Neurospora crassa OR74A: one gene and its partner. Each later gene encodes a partner of the first gene's protein in a complex. Each region holds a gene or a part of one and is shown in the gene's direction. Other genes may lie near its edges. The genes, in order: ace-4 and NCU00050.

What was found.
Region 2: the proteins of ace-4 (region 1) and NCU00050 are in contact, whole or in part, in a cryo-EM structure (PDB 8OHS), measured with the Neurospora crassa proteins. Residues at the interface, in XP_962786.1 of Neurospora crassa: Lys263 (codon at 3,072), Lys266 (codon at 3,081), Leu267 (codon at 3,084), Gln269 (codon at 3,090), Ala270 (codon at 3,093), Pro453 (codon at 3,642), Leu454 (codon at 3,645); in XP_956161.2 of Neurospora crassa: Leu323 (codon at 2,754), Gln326 (codon at 2,763), Val327 (codon at 2,766), Leu328 (codon at 2,769), Lys332 (codon at 2,781).

The regions. Positions count from the first base shown.
Region 1 is NC_026504.1:431,258-435,635, forward strand, and holds ace-4 (pyruvate dehydrogenase complex), read left to right. Parts: upstream 1-1,468; 5' UTR 1,469-1,980; coding exon 1,981-2,292; intron 2,293-2,597; coding exon 2,598-3,662; 3' UTR 3,663-4,260; downstream 4,261-4,378. UniProt on the Saccharomyces cerevisiae protein: The pyruvate dehydrogenase complex catalyzes the overall conversion of pyruvate to acetyl-CoA and CO(2).
Region 2 is NC_026503.1:2,412,689-2,417,065, reverse strand, and holds NCU00050 (pyruvate dehydrogenase X component), read left to right. Parts: upstream 1-1,339; 5' UTR 1,340-1,683; coding exon 1,684-1,744; intron 1,745-1,848; coding exon 1,849-3,068; 3' UTR 3,069-3,855; downstream 3,856-4,377. Other genes in the region: NCU00051 (hypothetical protein), read right to left, coding at 1-228. UniProt on the Saccharomyces cerevisiae protein: Required for anchoring dihydrolipoamide dehydrogenase (E3) to the dihydrolipoamide transacetylase (E2) core of the pyruvate dehydrogenase complexes of eukaryotes. This specific binding is essential for a functional PDH complex.

The DNA.
Region 1 (4,378 bases):
GGGATTGCGACAACTCAGCGGCGCGCGGCCTGTGACTGCTGACTTGCCGACCGAAACAGTGGAAGTTGACAGCAAGCCTTCAATTGAAGAGTGGGTCCATCAAGACCCTGATGGCTGCAGTGAGTGTCGCGGGCACGGACCATTCCCGACCCTTCCACTTCCCTTCCTCTTCCATCAGGTACCTACACGTACCTACGTACCTCTCACTTTATCTCCGTACGTATCAATCTATCTGCCAGCCGCTTTGCCTGCCGGAACTGCAGCCGTGGATACTCTTTTTGACGCATGGGTCAGTAATTGGTCTGTTCATTGGTAGCCCGCCGCCGGCGTCAGCTTTTGAAGAATCCGATGATAGCCATTCAATCCCGTCTTCCATTGTAGATATGGATCCCATCTCTTTTGCGTATCAGTTGTCTTTGGACATATTGGACACCGGTGATCCATGACACGGCGTATTTCACATCCATCGGAGGGAAGCCAAACTGTAACTTGTGTTACTACCATAGGCTTGGAGTCTTGATGGTATGAATACCTCGTGGGAAGTTTAATCAATAACCAAGTCGTGTGCCTTTTCAGCTTCTACAACACGATCTCAGGGCAACTCGGATACGAAGCTCTTCAGAGGTTGGGAATATGACTGATGACGAGAGACCGTTGTTAGCTGCTCCTGATTGCTTGTACATACGAAAACTGAAATGTCATCACCAGTCCAATTTTGTCATTATATGCCATTCTGCAGCATCTCTCATGGATCGGGTCCCTTAGTTTGACATCACTGACACTGCAGAGTCCAATCCTCTTGGAGTTGACGGTTTCCATCGCAATCAAATCCTCCGATCGGCCCGCAGAACGTAATCCGTACCTTAGCGCGAACTGTTATGGATCCGTGCAGCTGCCAGTCCGATGTCCCTGTCAGCACTTCATCTCTCTCGAGGTTGTTCATCGGAGAACTGTTGAAGTCCGCATCTCACTTTGGTCCATAAGGTTACTTGATATTCAGGTCTTCATAACTCGCAAATACAGATAGCACCTCCATGCGCGCTGCTCATACATATAGATATTCAAACAAGATATCACTGCTCCAAAGCTAGGTTAGCTTGACAATTCCAGTTCGTGATTGCAACCTCTCTTATCAAGTAATCAATCATCCATCTGCCCCCATTAGGCTTAGCGTCATTTACTCCCCGTTGCGCGACCGGGGGATTCTCAAAGCTTGGCCTCCTGCTGTCTTTGGGCACCGGGCAGCTGCGAGGCCGTGCTAGCCCTGAAATAGCCTGGCCTTGGCTCGGCGGGGGCTCTGCTTACGCTGGAACTGCTGGGGGGAGCTTCCCCCAACTGTTGGGAGAAATCGCAGGGGGGCAGAGAGCAAGGAGCTGAGGGGACACAAGGCGGGCAGTGAGTGTGGTGAGTGTGGTTGGTGACGGGAAGTGAGAAAGTGTGATGCCACCGCCGCAGTGGAGAGAGAGGGAAAAAAAAAAAAAAAAAAAAAGTTCACGAGTGTCGCCGATTGAAGTCCGGCTCCGTATCCCGCCGCTGCCCGCTGTCATCTTCCTGTTGTGCTCTCCACGACGAATCCGTCATTCAGGTCGAATCTCATCTCGCGCAGTCTTCCATCTTTCCAAACCTGCAATCTTCCCGTTCTTTTTCCACTCTTTTTCCGCATCAACCTGACTCGCGCAGTCGACGACTTACACCTCCAGGCTTGGCCCTACTGCGAATCCGCGTCCATCAATCAGACATCCCGGCCTCCCTCCGCACAAGCCAGCTTCTCCAACCCGCGTCCCTCTGCCCCCCTCCCCCCCGGTCGGCCTTTCCCCTCTCCAAGGTCCTGCCGCCGCTGCCACTGCTGCTGAGTGCTGCTCCTCCAGCTTGGTTTGGAATCCCCACATAAACATTCCATACTAGCAAATTGAACACAACCTCCTCTCTCAAAAAAAACACCACCACAACCACCCAACCTTCACATCACACCCTCTCACCATGATCGTCCCCGTCCTCTCAAGGCAGGCTCTCCGCCATGCCAGCGTCGCCCGTGTCGCCCTCCCCAGCCTCACAAGATGGTACGCCTCGTACCCCCCTCACACCGTCGTCAAGATGCCCGCCCTCTCGCCCACCATGACCTCGGGCGGTATTGGCGCATGGCAGAAGAAGCCCGGTGACAAGATCGAGCCCGGTGAGGTGCTCGTCGAGATCGAGACCGACAAGGCCCAGATGGACTTTGAGTTCCAGGAGGAGGGTGTCCTCGCCAAGATCCTCAAGGACTCGGGCGAGAAGGACGTCGCCGTTGGCAACGTAAGTACCTACCTACACTACCTGTCGAGCCACGAGTCATCATACCTGCCAAACACTCCAGCCCTACCTACTCCAACTCCATGACTCCATGCACATCTCCTCCCATCCCGACCCTCTTCCCCACTCGACCCTGAATCCACTCTTCTTCCTTTATGCCTCGTGCGCGCCTCGTGCCCTGTGTCTCGCCTGTCGGGTGATATGTCATGGTGCCGTTGAGCGTCTACACGCCCCGCGTCGCCTTAGCTTGTGCGCGCCTAATGTAGACAGACGACCCATGCTGACCATGCTTCTTCCTCCTTCTCTAGCCCATTGCCATTCTCGTCGAGGAGGGCACCGACGTCAACGCCTTCAAGGACTTCACCCTCAAGGATGCCGGCGGCGAGACCTCCCCCGCTGTCCCCAAGGATGAGCCCAAGAACGAGAGCACCGCCAGCGCTCCGACCCCCGCTCCTACTCCCGCTCCCGAGCCCGAGAACACTAGCTTCACCGGCCGCTTCCAGACTGCCCTCGAGCGCGAGCCCAACGCTCTCCCCGCTGCCAAGAGACTCGCTCGCGAGAAGGGCATCGACCTGCGCAACGTCAAGGGCTCTGGTCCCGGTGGCAAGATCACTGAGGAGGATGTCAAGAAGGCTCTTGCTAGCGCTCCCGCTGCCGGTGCCGCCGCCGCTGCCTACACTGATGTCCCCATCTCTGGCATGCGCAAGACTATTGCCGCCCGCTTGAAGGAGTCTGTCACGGAGAACCCCCACTTCTTCGTTTCCACCAACCTCTCCGTCAGCAAGCTTCTCAAGCTCCGCCAGGCGCTCAACAGCTCTGCTGATGGCCGCTACAAGCTTTCGGTCAACGACTTCCTCATCAAGGCCATGGGTATTGCTTCCAAGCGCGTCCCTACCGTCAACAGCTCGTGGCGCGACGGTGTCATCCGCCAGTTCGAGACCGTCGACGTTTCCGTTGCCGTCGCCACCCCCAACGGCCTCATCACCCCCATTGTCAAGGGTGTCGAGGGCAAGGGTCTCGAGAGCATCTCGGCCGCCGTCAAGGAGCTCGCCAAGAAGGCCCGCGACGGCAAGCTCAAGCCCGAGGAGTACCAGGGTGGCAGCATCTCCATCTCCAACATGGGCATGAACCCCGCCGTCCAGAGCTTCACCGCCATCATCAACCCTCCCCAGGCCGCCATCCTTGCCGTTGGCGCCCCCCAGAAGGTTGCCGTCCCCGTTGAGAACGAGGATGGCACCACCGGTGTCTCTTGGGACGAGCAGATCATCGTCACTGCCAGCTTTGACCACAAGGTTGTCGATGGTGCTGTCGGTGCCGAGTGGATCCGCGAGTTGAAGAAGGTCATTGAGAACCCTCTCGAGCTCCTCCTTTAAACGCGAATAGCACTCTGTTTTGGATGACGTTCAGTGGAGTTATACGGATCGAGCGACTGCAAACTAGATAGCAGTCACTTGGCCCCAAGTTCACGGCAGGCCGGCGCATGAGATTTTATAGAAATGGGCAGGCATTGGAAGGATGGATGAATGGATGGGAGGAAGAGAGGTGATGGAATGACAATGTCAGTCAGTTGGTTGACAAAAAAGCGAGCTGATGCTACAAAAGCTTTTGGGAGGTTCCATTCAGTGTCATGTTTGTGTTCTCTCTCAACCACCATATGTATAATGATTCGATCCCACTTTTTATAAGCAAAAACTTGAGCATGAGGTGTGCGGGAAATACAGGAAATCTTTGTTTCTTTTTCGTTTGTTAGAGTTGAGTTCAGCCCCGGCATCGGTTAGGCAACTTGAGGACTTTTGGATACAGGATTTGGGAATGGCACCCCAATCTGTTTGTCCATTTCTAGCCAAATATGTGGTCGAAGCTGCCATGTTTTGGCAAACCTGCTGCTTGGCTGAGGATACCAATTTTAATTTTGGATATCAGTATTTGGACAGATTCTGCTTTGGCAAAGCGAGGAAAGGTCCTGACCAGGGGGCATCATAAGTGTGATGCCAAGATAATGGGCGGCGGCCGCTGGTGTTGATGAACAACGAGGTGTCAGACTGTCAACTTCCAGACCGACCGCGGCAGACGGCACCAGTTGACTTTC
Region 2 (4,377 bases), on another chromosome or scaffold:
TACGGTAGTGATGACAGTGGATGATGAGGTCGGCTTCTTTGCTACCTTCTTAGCCTTGGAGGCAAAGAAGCGTGCCGTTTGGGCGGTGCGGAAGCCGGAGCCGGAACCGGAACCGAAGACCAGGACGAAACGTGTTACCGAAGCTTGAGATGCAGTCCTGGCACATGGCGCCGTGCGGTGTGCAAGCAGGACGAACTGGCTGCTGAGCCTACTGGAAATGGAAGCCATGGTGCTGTGTTGGATGACGGGCGGTAGTTCTGTACGGCGCCGGGGTAGCTGCCGGGGGACGGAGATCGGCAACGGAGTTTATGTGGATTTGAGGGCGAGCGGCTCCGGTCCGGGTCCTTGTCAGTTGACGGCGGGGAGGGGAGGGAAACTGGATCACGGTGCGGCCCGGCCACCTGCTGCCGTTTCGTTGCGTTTCGGGGCTTGTACGTACACTACAAAACCGTTCGTCAGGTTATCTTCGGACCCGGCCCCGCTCCCAGGTCTCGAATATTTTAGCGGATTCCCCTCAGGAACTCGGTCCGCAATGGAGCTCCGCTGGTGGGGACCGGTTCTTGGCTGCAGGGGAGAATTTGGAGGCCGAAGACGGGGGGGACGGTGAATGGGGGCATTAGAAAATATGGGTCTGATCACGTGCCAAGTCGCTTTTGGTACCTTCTCCATACCAGCTTGTAATTACGTCCGCGAACAGCCGTCAATACCCGACTTCTTTGCAAATTACCAATTAGTATTAGGGTTAGTTAGGGTTAGTTAGGGTTAGTTAGGGTTAGTTAGGGTTAGTTAGGGTTAGTTAGGGTTAGTTAGGGTTAGGGTTAGCTCCGGGGGTGCAGGGGGCCGGTGAGAGGCCCCCGCATGTGAATGTGAATCGTTAATATTGACATATGTCAACCATATGCCGGCCATATGTTCTGTAATTACGGTAATTATACGGGTGACTTTTGATACCTTCGGCTTAAGGAAAGTGGAGTATGCACGGACCAGTCTAATGCCCCTAATCACCATGCCCGAAGACGGGCTGACGGGGGAGGACATGGATGTCCCCAATCCTTGCTGACTCTACACTACAGTAGCGCGAGGATGATGACAACCCCGGGCAACTTCCATTGAAATTTGGCTCCAGTTTTGACTGTAGCGCGCGTCCTGCGCAGAGACAGCTGCTCGGGTGCTGCACGCCAGTGATGTGTGGTGAAGACGTCGCCCAAAAAAAAAAAAAAAAAAAAAAAAGAGAGGTTCGTTGCCCAAAGAGGTTTGGGGACATGGGGCGGTCGCGGGGGTTCATCGGAGGATTTGGAGGGTGGTCCAAGCTTCCCACGGTCGTTTCCCCAACATGTCGCTCATCGACCCTCATCAGCATCCACAAGCTGGCGACAGCTTTTTCTGGGTTGGTTCCCGTCCGTTTTCTGTCGCCGCCGGGTCCGCAGCCAGACTTCTTGACAGGAAGACAAAAAGATCCACTGCCCGCTGCCCATCCCGTCGACCTCGCGGTGGAATTTAGCATTGAACCTGACTCGTTTGACATACGTCAAGCATAAGGCTCAATTGGAGATCCCCAGCAAGCAGCAACCACGAACCCCATTCTCGATTTCCTTGCTGGAAACCACCATAGCCCTATCGCGATATCCACGTTGACCAGGCATTTCACGTCTTCGTTGCGACAACACCACATAATCATCCGCCATGGCTTCGCTAACAGCAGCTTGTCGCATCTCTGCCAGAATGGCAGGGCGCTCCGTCAGAGGTCGGTTCTCTCGGCTCCCGTCACCTGCCCGTCAACATGATGCCCGCTTTAGGTGCCTAGAAGGTCATCACTTGCTGACTTGGAGCAACATGCCATGTAAACAGGTTTCCGTACCTCTGCCGCCGCTCTCGCCGCCCAAAACTTTACCATGCCCGCTCTGTCGCCGACAATGACGGAGGGCAATATCGCGACCTGGAGGGTGAAGGAGGGCGACAAGTTCTCTGCCGGTGACGTGTTGTTGGAAATCGAGACCGACAAGGCCACTATGGACGTTGAGGCGCAGGATGACGGTGTCATGGTCAAGATCATGAAGAACGATGGCGCCAAGGGTGTTGCTGTCGGCGCCCGGATAGCTGTTATTGCGGAGGAAGGAGATGACATTAGCTCTCTCGAGATCCCAGCCGACGCAGCCCCACAGTCCAAGCCAGCCGAGTCAGCACCCTCGGCACCTCCCCCACCGACCACCGCGGACCAGTCTAACGTTGCCGTCCCCGAATCCGCTCCTCAGAATGCTTCGTCCAAGTCGGCTCCCAAGCCTCCGAAGAGGCAATACCCCCACTATCCTTCCGTCGCCCATCTCCTCAAGGTCAACGGCATTGACGCCGCTGCCGTTAAGGATATCACCCCAACCGGCCCCGGCGGCCGTCTGCTCAAGGGTGACGTTCTTGCTTACCTTGGTAAGATTAACGCCCAGACGCCGTCCACCGTCTCCGAGAGGTTCGAGAAGCAGTCGCACCTCGACCTTAGCAACATCAAGGTTGCCAAGAGCACCGAGGCTGTCAAGGCCACTACCGAGAAGGCTCAGTCCAAGAAGCTGGATGCTCCCGCTCCTCCTCCCGTAGCTGTTGTCACCGCGCCTATTTCTCTGTCCGCCGCCATCGATGTTCAGAACAAGCTTCACAAAACCATCGGCGTCTTCCTCCCTCTTTCAACCTTCATTACCCGTGCCACCGAGATCGCCAACCAGAAGCTACCCCTTCCCGCAAACTACCAGCCTACTGCCGATGAGCTCTTCAACCAGGTTCTCGGTCTTGACAAGGTCACTCGCAAGGAATCTCGCGGCTCCTATACTCCCACGTTCGGCTCCTTCGTGGCCCCTCAGCGGGCAGCTCGCAAGGCTGATATCATCGATATTCTCGCCGCTCCCTCCACGCGCGTTGCTGCTTCTGCTCAGAGCAAGTCCGCCGCCCCCGGATTGACCACTTCTGGACCCAACGTCTTCAGCCTTCAGGTACCCAAGTCGGAAGAGAAGAGGGCCCAGGCCTTCCTTCAGAAGATGAAGCTTGTTTTGGAACAGGAGCCTGACAAGCTTGTACGTGCCTAAAAAAAACTTAATGATCTGTTCATTCTTTTTCATCCTGCGCTCCCTCAATTGCCTTTTATAGAGAGGGAATAAAATGCACATAATGCACATGGGGTTTACTTGCTTGACATATGTTGGTATTGGATTGTATGGAGTAACTTGTTAGCACTAGACTTCCACTTTTATGGCTTCATGATCTAGGTTCTCTACTCTTAATGTTCGGGAGGACAACATGCGCTTATGTGCGGACATCCTGGGCATTTTTTAGTCGCGTTTCAACCGCTCGAATAACCGAGACATGATTGCGTTATGGTTGGCGTGCCTTTAGCCCATGAGCTCTGTGCTCGACGGTAAAGTTCTCCGCTCGTATGGAGGGATTTGCCAGGCCATGTTTCGGTCATTTGATCAGCTCGTACGTCCAACCGCCATGCAGCTCCTGTTCATGAGCAGGTACACTGTGACCTGATCTTCACAGGTCATCCGTCAAAAACTCGAGGTACGGGAGGAAAATGATTCAGTTCGAACTCGATGTTGATCAACATCATAAGCCAGGCCTCTGTCACACAGCGGTAAGGTATATTGTATCTTGGGCTATAAGTTTTTCTGGCCGCCAAGTACACTGGAAGACTTCATGGCACATAAGTGATAGACCTCCGTAGAAGAAAGAACCAGCTTTTTTAATCATTTCTCTCAAGGTCTGCCACTAGAGCCTTCTGGAGGAGGCTGAGATTGAACCACACTATGTGCATATAGTGTAGGCCTCATCTCGTTCGAGACCATCCATCAACTCATCATGTATTCAAAATAGAGACACTTGACAGATTAATTCTTTCCCACAAAAGACACTCGAGCCTCGAATTATCTGAACTTACTATCTCAATACGGTAGAGGTGTCCATACCACCAGGACCTTCGTAAAGAGCCATAAAGAGCCTTACTGGATGAATGGTAATGGATCCTGTTTGAAACCACATTGGGGCACTCAGTCCGAAAACACCTGCGGCGTGTACCAAAAGCATTCGTACCCCTAGGGGAGATTGAACGCTAAAGCCATTTCCTGGTATAAGCCGAGTGAACATTTCCCACCCCACGATGAATTCCCAATGATTGCTATATAGGCCCACCACGTCTACTACACCTATCATCACATGGTCTGGTCCGCAATCACATATCCCAATACATCCACTCGTCTCATATGAGGTTATACTCATGCCTCCTACATCTCCAATCACACCCCCGCTTTTACTTCTACCTCCTCGCCTCTCTTTTTCCCATATACCCATCTTGTCCAATCAAGCACTGACCATATCGTTGTTTAATATTCCAAGACC